Drosophila melanogaster: one gene and its partner. The protein of the gene in region 1 purifies or fractionates together with the protein of each later gene. This does not show direct contact. Each region holds a gene or a part of one and is shown in the gene's direction. Other genes may lie near its edges.

Region 1 (3,789 bases):
AGTTTAAGTATTTTCAATTAAGAATATGCTTCACTTATAATTGTTTATGTACACCAGACCGTTTGCAATGTTCAATTAAGTAGTAGTGGTAGCACAATGCAAAATAAGTAATAATATAAAAGATTTAGATACTAACATTTGAGCTAATCACCTATTTACAACTTAAAACTGCCGACTTGTTAAATATTTACTTACTTCTTAAAAACTGAGTTTTGAAAAAAAAATGGTAACTTGAAACGTTAACTAGCATAGATCATTGGCAGAGCTTACTTAGTTAGATGGTTTTGGCAATAAAATGGCTAAAATGGCAACACTAATCAGGGCGGAGGTTAAAAAGCATATATAGGGAGGGGGCTGGCTAAACTACCAAACGGAAAATCACATTAAAATTAAATTCAACATAAAAATCGAACGAAATCGCACATGCAAACGGGTTTGGCTCATTTACGATATTATATTTTTTTCCATCCACGCAACGGGTTTGCGGCGGGTGAACTACTTTGGGACACCTTTTTGTGGTCTCTTCAATCTGGCTTATTAGCGTCGGACTCAAGGGGAATGGAGGGAGGGAGGGGGGGGGGGGGGGTTTGTGCCGCACAAAGCCCAAAAAAAAGGGGGAAAAAAACTAAGGGGGTTCCACTAATTAACATTCAATTTAACACATTATACACCGGAGCAACCATTTTTCTTGTTTCAACCGCAGAAATGGGCCGGCGCACAAAAAGAGATCCATTTGGCCTCGTTCGAGACACTCGCCCAGATTGATGGCCCCCACAGAACGTCGTGTTTCGAAAAACGGAGCCCCACTCGCACTTTCTAAAAACCCATAAACACACAAAACCCATCAGTGGAGACCGACAGAAGATGGCCTTGAGAACAGACGCCGGCCGCCAGAGTTACGAGTTCCCCAGCGGTCTTTACATAATAAGTAACAACTTTTACTTGCTGCCACATCTCGAGCGTCTTTCCACTGTCCGTGAACTTGAAATGCAGCACAGCCAGAAATTTACAATTCAATAAATTTTTAGCAAGACCTTTGCAATTTTTGAATTAATATTCAAATCCATCAAACGTATTGATTCTCTTGCAACATTGTAGCATAGAAACATAAAGAGTAATTTTTTAAGATTATCTATGTATCATATTCGCAAGGTGGGTAACCTATTGACGATTTATAGCCCGTTCACATATGATTCGCCTGTGATTCGCCTGTGTCAATAATTAAAATCCATTTTTATATCGATTTCATTTATGATCACGTTGATGAATTATCTTCAAGTGTAAAAAAGGCAGGAAATGTCAAGCATGACGATGCCAAGCAAAATGTGATGGAAATTTCAGAGTTCATTGGTGATAACTTAACTTAACCATGGCCATTCTGAGAACTGCAAACAGTTATCCTTTTCAACAAGAGGTAATTAATGTTGGAAAATAGTAATTAATATTTATATATTAAGTACATTCATATTTCAACTTATAAATAAAATAAAGTTTCGATCTGGAATTGTTAGTATTAATTTTTTAACTTAAAACATACATTTTCCGAAAAAAGAAAATATACACAATAAAAACTATATTTCATAAAAATGATAAAAAAACATGCATAGTTAAAAGTTAATATTTATATGTTTATGTTTAATGCAAAATTGATTACTTGAGGCACGACGTGCGGTCATCTGCACCTAAGAATCGATGTCGACAATATCTACTCTAGATATTTATATATTCGAGTCTAGAGTTCCCATCTGCAAGGACATGACAAAGCTCTGGCAACCCTTTTAGCACGTGTCAAAAACTCAAAAAAAAAAGACGATGACTTTGCAGTCTAAAAGTCACATTTCTGATTTGGCGTGAGGACCTCAGTTGATTCACATCTCCAAGCGAATATTACTTAATATTATATTAATTAATATATTAATTTGTAAAGCACAGCATTTTCAAGGTGAGCATTTCAAGAGAATTCTTTTCCACGCACTTTACCCATACAAGTTAATAGGTTTTCCTAACGAAACAATGGATTTCAAGAAGCTGAAGAAAATGGAGGAGGTGGTGCGCATCGGCGGCAAAGGATCTATGCGCCGCAAGCATAAGAGATTCCCATCCTCGGCTGCGGCCGAGAAGCGCGTGCAAGCCACATTGGCCATGTTGCCGTTGAAGAATATCGACGAAATCGAGGAGGTGACCATCGAGTTCACCAATTCCAGTAAGGTTGTGTTAACCATGCCCAGGGTTCAGAGCACCGCTGGCAATTCTTTCTTCGTGGTTAGTGGCGATTTCGTGCGCAAGTCGTCAACAGCTGGCCCATCGAAAGTGGCCAAGGCAGCCAATGCGCCCAAGGCACCCATGCCACCTAAGCCACCCAAGCCGGAAGCTTTTTCCGACAAAAAGCCAGAATCAGAGGAGTCCATTAAGGTGGCCAAGAAGCCCAAGAAGCCGCGCAATCGTGTTCGTCCTCGCAACAAGAAGGTCCAAATGATGCTCTCCAAAAACAAAGAGGACGCAGCCATGGCTGGCTGGGATTCGGAGCCGAAGCTTAGCAATGGTAAACCAATTTTGATCTCCTCTGAAGATGGCAGCGATCCGGATAATGAGAAGGTGCCATCGGATGAGTCTGATGTGGATCGGACCATAGTCTGCGACAAAGATTCGCTGGGAAGCTTCGGCGATGATTCCGACGGCAAGGAGGACGTTGACACTACGGAGTCGATCTACCTGTCCTCCTACTCCAATTACTATTATTTGACGGAGCAGCTCTATCCAAATACTTATCGCGTTCAGGTCTCAGAGGACGAAGATTAGGCATATTCATTTGTTGCTACATTTGTACCAATTTCAAAAATAAATCGTATGAATTGAGAAAGTTGAGACAGAAAAAGGTTCCATATTCTATAGATTTGTACTTTAATCTCTTGGTGTTTATTGAAAGCATTGGTTTTCTCTACACTTATGGAAATTTTAATGATCTATAGTTCCAAAATAAAAAAAAGTTATAAATTTAAGATTATATTAGACTCTGTGGCTCTCAGTTATTTGTCTTAGTAAATATAGCCGCCGTTCGACGCGTACTGGGTCTCCTGGACGGATTTGGAGTAGCTGGCCTGCAAATGGGCAGGAGTAATGGTGTCGGCACCAATGGCCACGGGCACATGGGTATCGGGATTGAACTCCTCGATGCCATTCGATGTGGGTTCCTCGTACAGATGGGCAGGTGTGATCGTGTTCGCTCCAATGACGACTGGGGTTTGTCCCTGGACATAGGCGGCGATGGGTTGGGCGCTCTGGTAGGAACTGCTAGACGATCCGGCCACGATTGTCTTGGCCTGGCTATTAACGTAGCTCGTCTGGGAAACGGCGGATTGATAGGAACTGGAATCTGCCCCAGAAATAGCAGAGGCAGCGGTTGAGGCTACAACCGACTTTTTGAGTTGAGCTGGAGTGTATTCAGCGGGCTGGTAAGAGCTCGAATCTCCTCCGGGAACAGCCGCTCCCTGCTCTTGCTCTTGCTCCTGAATGTACTTGTAGTGGGCCTCTTGAACGTCCTGGGGAATGAACTTTTCAGGGGTGTAGGTATCAGCACCAATAGCAGCCGGAACTGGGGCATAGGTATCAGCACCAATAGCCGCCGGAACAGAAGCCTTAAGATGAGCTGGAGTGTATTCAGCGGGTTGGTAGGAGCTGGAATCACCACCAGGAACCACCTCAGCGGCCTTCAAGTGCTCGGGAGTGTATTCAGCGGGCTGATAAGAGCTGGAATCTCCTCCGGGAACAGCAGCTCCCTGCTCCTGCTCC
Region 2 (6,018 bases), on another chromosome or scaffold:
TGCCACATCGCTACTTCGTTCCTCGCCGCCAGCTAAACTGTGCGCTATTTCGCGCTCCATTTCGCGTAAATTTCCACTTTTTGGACAAAATTTTGAAACGATTCGGTTGCCTTGCTACAATTTACACTTTTTTATTGCCGGCCAAAAAATCCATCATACGCGAATAATTATATACTAAAATATACTACAAACGAATTATCCGTGAATATTAAACCTATTTACACAGAACAAAACCTACAGTAACGAAATGTCATTTGTATTCAGAGAAATGTTTACATTTTTCATAATTTCACACAGAAATAAGGTATAATTGTTAGAATTAAATATTATTTTCTGTATTTAAATCTTATGTCGAAATATTAGCGAAGGCTCACACCAAGGTTGCTATCTGTGCTAACTATTTACCAAGCACTCCAACCAATTGAACTAAAAATAAAAAATTAATTCCTTTTGAAATCTTAACAATATATTGTTTTACAATAAAAAAATATGTACATCGTACCGTTGATTGTTTTAATATGAAATTTATATTTCCAATAGGTTGGAATAAGGCAAGATTGTCAAGCACTTAAATGCAGGGGTTTTAGCACAGCTAATAGTTGCTCTCAAACTGTACCAGCTGGCGGGAATTTCAAATAATTTATGTCGCTAAAATAAGTTGATGCAGTTAAGTAGTTTCAGCACGCTGCCTTTCAATTTAATAAATTAATTTATAACAAACAACGATAAAATCTTTTATTATTTACCTAATTGTTTAATTACGTAATTTTAATTACGTATAATTTAAAATAAAAATCAAAAAATGTTTATAATATAACGTTTTTTAAGCAATCAGACTGGGAATGTCAGAGCACATTGAGGTCACACAAAATTAGATACAAAATTTAAAAAACGACTTAAAATTTTTTCATTTTGAACTCCAAATTCGAGAACCATGTTCATACCCAAAATACGAGACATTGGTTACTTTGCGCTGCTGACATCCCTGCACTTGGGCTCAAATCTTCAGCCGGTCATCGAGGCGAATGCCAATCTAAAAACGGTCTATCCCTCCGTGAATCGTAATCTAACGCTTCAATTGGGCTATAAATACAATCACTGGATGCTGGTTAAGGCCATAATGTATTCACTACTATCTATGATCGGAGTTTGGTACTCACGACACTTGCAAAGTGGCAAAAGTGAGGTATCGATGGAAAAGAAAGGAATCCTTAAAACTACGACAACAGCTGCAGAGCAAGTGAAAAACAATTGGATCAAAAAACAGAATTCCGCATTGAAAAACGGAACCCTGCCGCGGAATATATTCCTGTTATTTGCTTTGCCCTGGATATTGACCTTTGTGGCCAGCGGATTGATCAACTATATTCGATTTTACATGGTCATACAGCATTTTTGCATATCTAACTGGAGGGCGATTCAGCTTTATGGAGAACTGCAAGGCCTCTTTTGGCATCGTTCTACATCCGTGACTTTAATACCCTATTGGTCGCAAATTATCGGCGGAGGAGTATCCTTGGAGAAGGCATCTCATCTTTCTGGAAATTGTATTTCCATTGAAACACATCTTTTGGACTGAACATGGCAATCTATATTTAAAATTTTTATTTTATGTTTGATGCAAAAATTATAATAATGGAAAATAAATCGATTTTGTTGACTTAGCTCTAAAGTTTTAAAGTGATTTTGATTTGATCAGTAAACTTAAATTATTGTAGCATTAATTGAGCATTGGAATTCGTTATTGGTTTATTGTTAGTTTTAATTTCTCAACAACATTTGTATTGTTGATTTCTTCTGGTGTTTTGCCTGCGACAATAAGCGACATTTTCAATCAACAAAAGAGAAAACTTTTCTATGAACTTTATGCACCGCTTGGCATTTTATTGTTGGAAAAAACTTTTCCACCACGTGGGAAATATGCGGCAATCACTTTTTCTTGCTCACTTTTATTCAGTGGAGAAAACTCACGGTGAATAAATGTGAAAGGAGTACATAAATACACAAGTGCTATTTTTTGCTTTAAAAAATGTTTGTATCCTTATATGATTATTTCAAGAGCTTTTCATTGAATGGGGAATTATAGTCAGAAAACTCTTAATAGCAGTACTCCTGCATTATTGACCTTTTAAATATCTATTTGTGTATTATAGAAATCTCAACATCACCGACATGACACTCAACCGATCGAAGTTCACTTAAAAACGAGAATTCTCCGAGCACATTTCAAAATTATACCCAAATAAACATTTTATGTAAATTGCTTTAGTGCCGAAAGTTATTCGCGCTTTGGACACTGAATCATATCGACAGGATCTGTGTCGGTCAGCAAACGAGGAAAAACGACACTTGCAAGGATCGTTTCTTGAGTTCTCCATTGGCAAACAACACAATTCGGGTCAACTCTCGATTCCCCCATTTCGGTCCACTGTTTCGACTTGCTGGTAAGTAATATAACTAACAACTAGACTGAGAGGAAATAATATATCGTTTCGGGGTACCAGTTAGAATATTTCATAGGTTCTCTATCAACTCTTTAAAAGGATCTTAGAATTTTGAATCTAGTTTTTCTTGGTAACTTACCAGATTTGCAGTAGTGGTTTCGTCTTTGAAGAAATATAACACTGCAAATAGCATAAAAAAAAACTAATATTATTTTCTTTCTACTTTTAAATTAAATGCAATGTCTTAGGGACTTAAATCAAAGAATATGTATACTACCCGTAAGATTGAAGGGGTATACTAGATTAGCAGAAAAGTATAAGAGAGGTAAAAGCATTTCCGACCTTATAAATATACAAGTTTTTGATCTAGCCAAATTAATAATAAGCTTAGTTCTTTGTTCTTAGTTTCCAAAAAAACATGAAGCTTATATACCCTTGCAGTAATAGTATATAATTTATATATATAAGAAAATGCATTAAAAATAATAACTCTTCCTTGTTGAAACAAGAAAGTCTTTAGAATAAAGCATATGTACAAAACCAATGGAGCCAAATTTCGCTTATAAATTTCCTATACATAATTTAATCTACTAGTAAAATATCTGCAAGTTTCAAATGTTCTTCTGATCGCAACTGTAAGTAAAGCTTTAGATTCTGGACCTATACATATACATAGATACAAAGTTTGTACATAGTTTATACGTACATATATGTTTTTCCTTATTTGACACATCATTTGAATTTAATCTGATCTAGTATTCCGTTTCATTACAGTTATCAAAAAATTTGTTCGGTTTGGTTTAGTCTTACCGATTTTAGCAACGAAAGCAGACAACACATTTCGTTCGTTCCTTTTTTAAATATACATTTTACGTTCGCACATGAAACATTTTTGAAACATTTTCTCTTTTTTTTTTTTTTTTTGGACACCTGACAAAACTTTTGAACGTGGCTGGTCAAAATTATTAGAGACAGTTCGAGAGACCAACATACATACACTTCGAGAGTTGCCGTAAATTGTAAAAACACACAACAGTCGTCAAAATTGTGCAGATAATAGCTCGCGTATATAGTGCGGTAAACATAATAATACTATATACTATGCGTGGACAACTGTTGCTGAAGGGACCCGCATTGGCGAGGAGCTTGAGCCGGTGCCGCGTAAGTGCCGTGCCCCAAATTGGATCTGTTCGTCATGTGACCGCCGGCTGTGCAGCTGGTGATACCGTCAAGGGCGGCAAAGGAATCGTCTTGGGCCTCTACGAAAAGGAGTCGGGCAAGGGACCTCGATTAACGCCTGCTGGCGAAAAGTTTGACGATCGTGTGCAGGGCAAGCTATCGGAATTGGTTTGCGAAACCAAATTAACTGGACGATTGGGTCGCGGCAAGGTCTTCAACAATGTGGACAGCGAGTTCAGATCCATTTGCGTGGTGGGCGTTGGTCTCGAAGGCATAGCCTTTAATGAACTGGAAATGCTGGACGAGGGTATGGAGAATGTGCGCATAGCTGCTGGAATCGGTGCCCGATCATTACAAAGTATTGGCTGCTCGGAAGTGCATGTGGATAATATGGACTATGCCGAACAGGCAGCCGAAGGTGCTGCACTGGCCATTTGGCGATATGAGGAGAATCTGGCGAAGAAGTATCGTAGCACTATACCGAAACTGGAGCTGCATGGTTCACCGGATGTCGAGTCCTGGACAAGGGGCCTCTTCAAGGCAGAGGCACAGAATTTGGCCAGAAGACTGTGTGATGCCCCAGCCAATTGTATGACACCGACAATTGTGGCACAGGCTGCAGTGGATTCACTATGCCCATGCGGCATCACCGTAGAGGTTCGCACCATGGAATGGATTGAACAGCAACATCTGAACTCCTTCCTGATGATTGCCAAAGGCAGTTGCGAACCACCCGTTCTCCTTGAGGTGGCCTATTGCGGCACCGCACCGGAAGATAAGCCCATTCTGCTGGTGGGTCAAGGCATAACCTTCAATTCAGGTGGCATCAATCTGCGTCCTTGCAAGGGCATGGATGAATTCCGCGGAGATCTCACTGGAGCGGCATGCATTTTGGCCGCCATGCGCGCAGCAGCTGCTCTATCTTTGCCCATCAATATAACTGCTGTGATACCACTGTGCGAGAATCTGCCGTCTGGAATGTCCTGCAAGCCTGGCGATGTGGTGACCTTACTCAATTCCAAATCTCTGGCGGTGCGTAATATAAGTCGAACAGGAGTGGTGGTCATCTCGGATCCCATGCTTTATGGTCAGATAACATACAAGCCCAGACTCGTCGTGGATGTGGGCTCCATGTGCAAGGGCGTAAAGAAGGCAGTTGGCGGTGGAGCCACTGGTATTTGGTCGAATTCTCACTATATATGGAAACAATTCCAGCGTGCCGGTTCCTTGACCGGTGATCGCTTGTGGCGATTCCCCTTATGGCGCTACTACAAGGATCGTGTGGCAGAGCACCTGAGCTTCGACCTACTGAACGATGGCGAGGGATATGCCTCGTCTTGCCTGGCAGCTGCTGTTCTCCACGAACTCGTGCCCTGCAGCGATTGGGCCCATTTGGATACCTATGGTACTGGACTATTGAGCACATATGGATTGATACCCTACTTGACAGCTGGCAGGATGACTGGCAGACCGACCAGGACATTGGTGCAGTTCCTCTACCAAATCGCCTGCCCCGAACAGCCTAAATAATTGATGTTCTGCGGATGACTTCGATTACGTTTTGATTGGTTCTTTGACTGGCGACTCTTAAAGGCTCTCGAAAAATGGATGTTCGGCTCCAACTGTGTATATTTATGATGTGGGTTGACGATGTTCACCCAACGTTTTAATCTGTTGACCAAAGTCCCAGGACAAGGGACCAGAGCTCGTTCAATGTTTGTATTTTATGTTTATGACTCGGCCGCATCCCGGGGCTGAGTTGGCTGGCAGAGATTGTCTAGCGTCCAAAAAAAATTCAAATTCACACAGGAAAATCATTGTATCAATCAATTATAAACGTTCGGCAGACAATCAAATGTAATAAATTGTAGGGTCATCTTAAAGGAACGATAACGATAACGAGTTTTAAAAATTAATCCAAAGTAGAGGTGATGATTTAAATCTTTTAAGCCCAAATAAGCACTTTAATCTAGCTTTGTGTCTTTAACGATGAACTATTAGCCACAGCTTTGACCAATTTTATGCATTTTTGGGTGGAAAGTATACCCACTAAACTGCCGTCGAAGGTCCTCAGACGGGCCATCGTCAATGTCAGGCGAACACAAATAGCTGAATTCCACCCAATTTGCAGACCACGTCTACTTTTGGCATATCAATGAGGCGACCGAGAAAAGGATGAGGATGATTGGAAAGTCTGGACTGACTGGAGTGACAGGATATCGAAGAGTTTATGGCAAACTTTTCCGCACGTTATTGATGTCCGGCTCAGCTTGGCTTAAATTTCAAACTTTCCCGGCACACAAGACGTCGTGCTTTTTTGGCTCGGAACAATTGAAAGGCTCCATCGTTGTAATTTATTTGTAGACTAATTCAATTGGTCGATGTAAAATTCTTT

The links.
Region 2: the proteins of betaNACtes1 (region 1) and S-Lap3 purify together in Drosophila melanogaster (affinity purification with mass spectrometry, with the first as the bait; one large-scale study listed by BioGRID). This does not show direct contact.

The regions. Positions count from the first base shown.
Region 1 is NC_004354.4:14,170,695-14,174,483, reverse strand, and holds betaNACtes1 (Nascent-associated complex beta-subunit-like, testis 1), read left to right. Parts: upstream 1-1,859; 5' UTR 1,860-1,942; intron 1,943-1,996; 5' UTR 1,997-2,013; coding exon 2,014-2,799; 3' UTR 2,800-2,997; downstream 2,998-3,789. Other genes in the region: CG12480 (uncharacterized protein), read right to left, coding at 3,036-3,789.
Region 2 is NT_037436.4:10,462,967-10,468,984, forward strand, and holds S-Lap3 (Sperm-Leucylaminopeptidase 3), read left to right. Parts: upstream 1-2,220; 5' UTR 2,221-2,444; intron 2,445-3,218; 5' UTR 3,219-3,545; coding exon 3,546-5,153; 3' UTR 5,154-5,514; downstream 5,515-6,018. Other genes in the region: Gem3 (gemin 3), read right to left, coding at 1-60; CG32061 (uncharacterized protein), read left to right, coding at 935-1,579.